Linked DNA regions of Xenopus tropicalis. The protein of the gene in region 2 purifies or fractionates together with the protein of the main gene of each other region. This does not show direct contact. Links are inferred from orthologs where the notes say so. Each region holds a gene or a part of one and is shown on either strand. Other genes may lie near its edges. The genes, in order: dcc and casp9.

What was found.
Region 1: the proteins of casp9 (region 2) and dcc purify together in Homo sapiens (co-immunoprecipitation; 3 studies listed by BioGRID and IntAct, with this or other methods). This does not show direct contact. The link is inferred for Xenopus tropicalis from reciprocal best matches to the Homo sapiens genes CASP9 and DCC.

What each region holds. Positions count from the first base shown.
Region 1 is NC_030677.2:204,365,895-204,370,465, forward strand, and holds the start of dcc (netrin receptor DCC), read right to left. Parts: upstream 3,119-4,571; 5' UTR 2,623-3,118; coding exon 2,532-2,622; intron 1-2,531. UniProt on the Homo sapiens protein: Receptor for netrin required for axon guidance. Mediates axon attraction of neuronal growth cones in the developing nervous system upon ligand binding. Its association with UNC5 proteins may trigger signaling for axon repulsion.
Region 2 is NC_030683.2:129,462,582-129,465,690, reverse strand, and holds part of casp9 (caspase-9), read right to left. Parts: intron 1,212-3,109; coding exon 1,122-1,211; intron 986-1,121; coding exon 838-985; intron 697-837; coding exon 517-696; intron 1-516. UniProt on the Homo sapiens protein: Involved in the activation cascade of caspases responsible for apoptosis execution. Binding of caspase-9 to Apaf-1 leads to activation of the protease which then cleaves and activates effector caspases caspase-3 (CASP3) or caspase-7 (CASP7).

The DNA.
Region 1 (4,571 bases), on a different chromosome or scaffold from region 2:
TTAGAGGTGGGTTGGTCATTTTTTCTTCCCCTTTAATCAAGTAGAAAATTAATCCTACTGCCCCGGCTGATAGAAATGACACAGAAATGGCAATTTCCCTGCCTGTAATTACAGATCTGGGCAGCGCTACCCAGGCAGTAAGGCGGAAAGGGCTCAGCCGCTGCTTTCTATGTTTGAAGACGGGGGTGTCAATCACGGGCTGCACTGCATTATGGGGGCTCCCAACTTCACGGTGACTGACAGGTCTGCTTCTCCGGGGAGCCGGCCGTCGGCCTATACAGCCAGTCAGTGGCCTTCTCTAATGGCTAAATCATTCAAATTAAACCAGCCTTGGGGGCCGCTGCCCCCCTTTCCATCAAGGCCGACCTGCCCCTTATAACGCTGCTAACGTGGTCATAAAATCAATTCACCATACCACGTTGCATTTTTTTTAATAATAAACACATGGAAATGCTACAGCAAGCACAGTAGTATTGATTTCGGGGCAAATGAACTGAGGGGAACCCAAGCACCAAGGCAACCTGTCTTTCCCGAGGGGCCACGTGTGCAACGTTGGTCTATATCGGAATTACCCCATTCATGGGGAGGGATTTCAATATCCCTATAATTCAGGCAAATGTATCCAATGTTGGGTTTATTTGCACCAAATGCCAATATCAATAATACATCATGGGTATGTATATAAGTAAGAAACCCCTTGCACTAGGGATCCCCACTACAAAATATATAAACTCATATACCACTCAATATTAGCCTAACGCGTTTCATGCTTACCCAGCACTTAATCATAGGCTCCAACCTCAAGTCCTACAACTCCCATCATCCACCCTCAAGCAAGTATTTACATTTCAACAATAGCAAGAAAATGGGCGTACCTTACTTAAACCCCCTATATTAATTGGGCTATTGAGTCTCGTTGGCACTGAGATTTCATTACATCTCTATTCAGATGTATGTTAGTAATACTCTCGTACCCTGTAGGAGGGGTAAAACATGTTTTCATCCAACCCACCCCCCACGCCCAGACGTGTTTCCCACTGTACCCCAGGTATAAGACCGTATTCATAAAGTAATAACAATTTTCATTAATATCATTGGGTCATACATGTTACCCCAATGGAGTGTGTGTCTTGGCGATCAAGTGAAGAATAAACCACTATTTTAATGATGAATAATAATAAATATTTTCTAATAATATTTCTATATTATATTTTCTATAACAAACAGAACCATTTACAAAGAAAAACTCAAAAAAGGCTGAATTGATTGGCAAAGCGGTGCCAATTGGCTCCCCAATGCTAAGGAAGTTTGAGTAAAAGAGCCGCAATTGCACCCCGGCCCCTTTAGTGGGCACCTCCTGCTGGTGTCTTCCTTTCACTACTATCACTTCTCCCTCCCCCCTGGCTCTCTGGTTGGAAAGAAAGAAAATAGCTCACTAGAAGGAGGGCTGGGAGTGTAAAGATTAATGAGAAGAGGCCAAGCAAAAGCTCCGGTGCCTTTACAGCTCCATTGCACATTTCCCAAGCCTGGATGCCAATGGTTGCTTCCGGTTCCCCCAACTTTTACATTTTATTTTTCTTTAATAATACAACTACATGTGTGTGCTGCCCGGCACCCTGGCATGAACTGCGCTGAGCAGTAGAATTCTACCAGAGCCGGTCGCTGTCCACTTCAGCACCATGTGAATGGACCCATCCATTGTATTGCCTCCTACAGCCCCAATGTGTGCACAACCCTTGCAGCTCAGTGTGCCATATACACAAATACAAGCAGTATATACTGTCACCTCAACCCCCAACCCTCAGTATCACAGAACTATAACCATCGTGCACTACACCTAGGTGCAACCAAGCTCTTGGTGACTTGCTACTTGACTTGATATTCCAGTCCCAAGCATTAGCACTGCGGAGCATGTTTGGGCAATAAAGACGTCCCTTATATGACACACACACACCCCATTGTCACATGTGAAATCACTAGCGAGCCCCCATTCATTCCACTAGTTTAATAGCATGAATTGGCACGCACAACTTTATGTAGTTGTGCCAGAACGCACCGTGCCCCATTATAAACCACGCTCCGCCGTATATAAATAGTCCTATTTGGCCCGAAGCCACCATTCTCTTCCAGATCTTGCAGGATAAGGAGAAGCTGTGAAATATACATCACTGGGGCTGGCGGAACGGTTTTACAAAACCAAAAATGTTTAAATTATTCACTTCTATCTTTAAAATATCACTTCGGCTCTAGGGACGAGGGTCTTAATAATTCATTATAAGATCTTGCTGCATTTTTTTTTCCCTTCTACTGCTTGTTAATATGTATGTGTGTGTATGTGTGTGTGTGGGTTTTTTTCCCCTTTAAAATACTGCAGCATGGATGTGAAGTAAAGAGGAGAAATGAAAGCTGCTATTCCTTCTCCAAACAAGCAAAGTGCAGAGAATCTCTATGAAATCGCTCCTCCGGGAGCCACACTGAGGGTCCTGGTTCCTAGGCTGGGGATGGAAGGGAATGCCGGAGATGTTACTTACCGGATACCGGGAGATTTAGGCTGAGCAGAGCGAATCCATGCAGGAGAAACACCAGCTTTGGTAGTGAATAAAATCCAAGACTATTCTCCATATTTCAGCAAACACCTCCCGATTTGTGTCCCAATTCCCAAGCACACTCATGCACACTCAACCCTGATTGCCTTAAATATTCCTGGTCCCTTGGCGGCTTCAGCAGGCAAAGTTAATGCTGGTCCAGTTCAGCATCAGCCCTGATGTACCCCCTTCCAAATAGCAAGTAAGTAGGGGCAAGCTTGTAGGGTGGGCTGAAGGTCCCAATGAAAACCATCCAAAGATAAAATCCTCCAGAATTAGATCCAGGTGCAGAAAATAAATCTGTAGAGGAGTCCCATGTCCCCAGTGCTGGATAAAAATAAAAATCAGCTTGGTAAAAAAAGGGGGTTATTAATAAAAAAAAAAAAGAAAAGCACAGGAGAGACTGATGCTTCCTCCTTCCCTGGCAGAGGAGAAAAAGACAGGGGCTTTAAAGAGCTCACTTGTTACTAGAGCAATCCACCAGCAGTGTATGTGAGCTAAGAATCAAATGTGTTCACCCATTGATCCACAGAAAGTGAAGAGGCTGGAGAGGAAAACAAGGAGCTGGGAAGCGCAGGAATGGGATGGAATGGGGATTGCGGAGGGGACAGCACTGGCTCCACTGGCTCTATACGGATTCTTTGTTCAGTCGCCAGTATGAAAGCATGAGCGGGGGCGCCCTCTGTCGGCGGCTGCTGGGAATGGCGGCAGCGCAGGGAGAAACGCTGGATCAGTGCGCGTCTTGCAGCTGCTACTGGGTCTTTACTGACAGCCCAAACAGGTTCCGAGCAGTTTAGATAATATGTATTATATATATATATATTATATGGAGGGAAAGGAGGAATGAGAGTTCTGCTGGCTGTCTGATCCTGCTCTCTCCTACAGGATACAATAGGCTGGGAGGGAAAACCAGAAATTCATTCATGTCATAAAAATGTCACAGAGTTACACTTTGTTTCATTCTGTGACTGGGGCATTAGCAGCATGGGGGGCTCACTGGGGCTCATTAACTACCCACAGACGCGCAAAGATGAACGCAGTTCAGTGCAAACTGACACTATTGGTTAGTATACAGGTATGGGACCCCTTATCCAGAATGCGAAGGACCGGAGAAGGGGTCATTCTGTAATTCGGATCTGCTACCTTAAGTCTGCTAAAAAAAAATATTTAAACAGTAATTAAACCCAAAAAGGCTGTTCTGCCCCCAATAAGGGGTAATTATATCTTAGTTGGGATCAAGTACAGGTACTGTTTTATTATTACAGAGAAAAGGGAATCATTTAACCATGAAATAAACCCAATAGGGCTGTTCTGCCCCCAATAAGGGGTAATTATATCTTAGTTGGGATCAAGTACAGGTACTGTTTTATTATTACAGAGAAAAGGGAATCATTTAACCATTAAATAAACCCAATAGGGCTGTTCTGCCCCCAATAAGGGGTAATTATATCTTAGTTGGGATCAAGTACAGGTACTGTTTTATTATTACAGAGAAAAGGGAATCATTTAACCATTAAATAAACCCAATAGGGCTGTTCTGCCCCAATAAGGGGTAATTATATCTTAGTTGGGATCAAGTACAGGTACTGTTTTATTATTACAGAGAAAAGGGAATCATTTAACCATGAAATAAACCCAATAGGGCTGTTCTGCCCCCAATAAGGGGTAATTATATCTTAGTTGGGATCAAGTACAACTACTGTTTTATTATTACAGAGAAAAGGGAATCATTTAACCATTAAATAAACCCAATAGGGCTGTTCTGCCCCCAATAAGGGGTAATTATATCTTAGTTGGGATCAAGTACAGGTACTGTTTTATTATTACAGAGAAAAGGGAATCATTTAACCATTAAATAAACCCAATAGGGCTGTTCTGCCCCAATAAGGGGTAATTATATCTTAGTTGGGATCAAGTACAGGTACTGTTTTATTATTAGAGAGAAAGGGAATCATTTAACCATGAAATAAACCCAATAGGGCTGTT
Region 2 (3,109 bases):
CAGACGGCGTAGTACAAGCGGAGGCCGAGAGCAGTTCCCTTATTTTTATTAAGTTTAAAGGGAAACTATACCCCAACAATGTAGGTCTCTATAAAAATGTATTGCAAAAAAAGCTTATAAGTAAAACCCTGCTTCATTCAAATAAACCAATTTCATAAAAATATACTTTTTTAGCAGTATGTGCCATTGGGTAATCCTAAATAGGAAACTGCCATTTTAAGTACTAAGGGCCGCCCCCTGGGATCATAGGAGTCACAGTGCACACAAACAAGCCAAGGCACACATACATGCTAGGCCCCATCAGCCAATGAATGGGCAGAGTTATGCCTTTTGCTCCCACACTACTTCCTGTTACAGTTAGAGCTGCATCACTTCCTGTCAGCTGATCTCTGAGGGAGCGCACAGCCCATCACTAAATGGCAGCTCAAGGGAAAGGATGTAAAAGGGCAATATTTACTGATATATATATTCCAGTTTGGGGGTATAGTTCTCCTTTAACAAAGACTGAGCATTTACCTGGGAAAGTGGAATAGGACACCAAGATATCACTGGGAGTGGGAATACTGGACACGGCATCCACTTCGTCGTTATCATCTTCCCCAGAAAAAACAGGGGTGGCATCAGACTGCAGGGAAGTTGAAGTGGGGCTTAGTGGGGGGGTCTCAGTAGTCACCGAACAGCCTTTGTCTTTCTGATCTGCAAGGAGAAAAGAGAAGAATTAAGACATTAGACCATCCCTGCCCTCGTTATTTTATCCCTAACATGAAAATATCACGTATAGTTTGGATAACAGGAAAAAAACATCATCAATTTGATTGGACAATGGCAGAAATTTACCTCCGCCGCAGGCTTGAATGAAGAAGATCTTGGGCTTTCCCCGCAGGCTGGGGCATTTAGAACCATTAAAGTAGCTCACGATTCTCTCTACAGGGATTCGAATCCCATCTGTTCCGTAAACTCCTCCTGGAAACTGAATGTGCCGGGTCTAGAGTGAAAACACACAGATTTATTGGCTGAAGGTTCTGGGTGGTGCAGTCAGGTTTATCTAAAGTTTCTCGGGGACACAATAATGCTAGGACTTCTGTGTGTGCCCAAGGTGCAACATCATCAATAAACCTCACCTCACAGCCATGTGACAGGATCACCACCAGGCAGCAGTCCCTCAGGCTGTGGTCTTGGGCAGCAAGTTCCTCCAGATGATCATGAATGGCCTGCAAGCAACAGAAACAAGGATTTTAAAGCAAGAATTCTGTATAGTCAAAGTGAAGGAGGCAGGGCCGCCATCAGGGGGGCACAGTTGTCCTGGGCCTGGACGATCCTTCGCTTTAAAGGGGGCCCGGGCGTGAAAGAGTTTTTAAACTCGGGCCCCCTTTAAAGAATTACGGGCTCTGTCTTTGGTGGCCAGTGGGATTTCGATTGGTTTTGCCCTGTGCGTACCTGGTACCTGTGACGTCAGAACGCACGGGGCGCAACCTTATAAAACAGTGGATGCAGCAGGGAGCCGATGGACACAGCAGGCGCAGGAAGCAGGCGGACGCTGGGGGGGAGCAGGGTGAGCTGCAGGAAGCAGAAGGAAGAGTGGGGGGGGGAGCTGGAGGATGTTAGGGGGGAGCTGGAGGATGCTAGGGGGGAGGCGCAGGAAGCAGGTGGACGCTGGGGGGGAGCAGGGTGAGCTGCAGGAAGCAGGAGGAAGAGTGGGGGGGGAGCTGGAGGATGTTAGGGGGAGCTGGAGGATGATGGGGAGGATGCTGGAGGATGCTAGCGGGGAGCTGGAGGATGCTGGGGAGGACACTGGAGGATGCTAGGGGGGAGCTGGAAGATGCTAGGGGGGAGCTGGAGGATGCTAGGGGGGAGCTGGAGGATGCTGGGGAGGACGCTGGAGGATGCTGGGGAGGACGATGGGGGGAGCTGGAGAATGTTGGGGGGGATGCTGAGGGGAGCTGGAGGATGCTAGCGGGGAGCTGGAGGATGCTGGGGAGGACCTGGAGGATGCTAGGGGGGAGCTGGAGGATGCTAGCGGGGAGCTGGAGGATGCTGGGGAGGACACTGGAGGATGCTAGGGAGGAGCTGGAAGATGCTAGGGGGGAGCTGGAGGATGCTAGGGGGGAGGCGCAGGAAGCAGGTGGACGCTGGGGGGGAGCAGGGTGAGCTGCAGGAAGCAGGAGGAAGAGTGGGGGGGGAGCTGGAGGATGTTAGGGGGAGCTGGAGGATGATGGGGAGGATGCTGGAGGATGCTAGGGGGAGCTGGAGGATGCTGGGGAGGACACTGGAGGATGCTAGGGGGGAGCTGGAAGATGCTAGGGGGGAGCTGGAGGATGCTAGGGGGGAGCTGGAGGATGCTAGGGGGGAGCTGGAGGATGCTAGCGGGGAGCTGGAGGATGCTGGGGAGGACGCTGGAGGATGCTAGGGGGGAGCTGGAGGATGCTGGGGAGGACGATGGGGGAGCTGGAGAATGTTGGGGGGGATGCTGAGGGGAGCTGGAGGATGCTAGCGGGGAGCTGGAGGATGCTGGGGAGGACACTGGAGGATGCTAGGGGGGAGCTGGAGGATGCTAGCGGGGAGCTGGAGGATGCTGGGGAGGACACTGGAGGATGCTAGGGGGGAGCTGGAGGATGCTAGGGGGGAGGCGCAGGAAGCAGGTGGACGCTGGGGGGAGCAGGGTGAGCTGCAGGAAGCAGGAGTAAGAGTGGGGGGGAGCTGGAGGATGTTAGGGGGAGCTGGAGGATGATGGGGAGGATGCTGGAGGATGCTAGGGGGGAGCTGGAGGATGCTAGCGGGGAGCTGGAGGATGCTGGGGAGGACACTGGAGGATGCTAGGGGGGAGCTGGAAGATGCTAGGGGGGAGCTGGAGGATGCTAGGGGGGAGCTGGAGGATGCTGGGGAGGACGCTGGAGGATGCTAGGGGGGAGCTGGAGGATGCTGGGGAGGACGATGGGGGGAGCTGGAGAATGTTGGGGGGATGCTGAGGGGAGCTGGAGGATGCTGGGGAGGATGCTGGAGGATGCTAGGGGGGAGCTGGAGGATGCTAGCGGGGAGCTGGAGGATGGTAGGGGGAGCTGGAGGATGCTAGGGGGGAGCTGGAGGATGCTGGGGAGGATACTGGAGGATG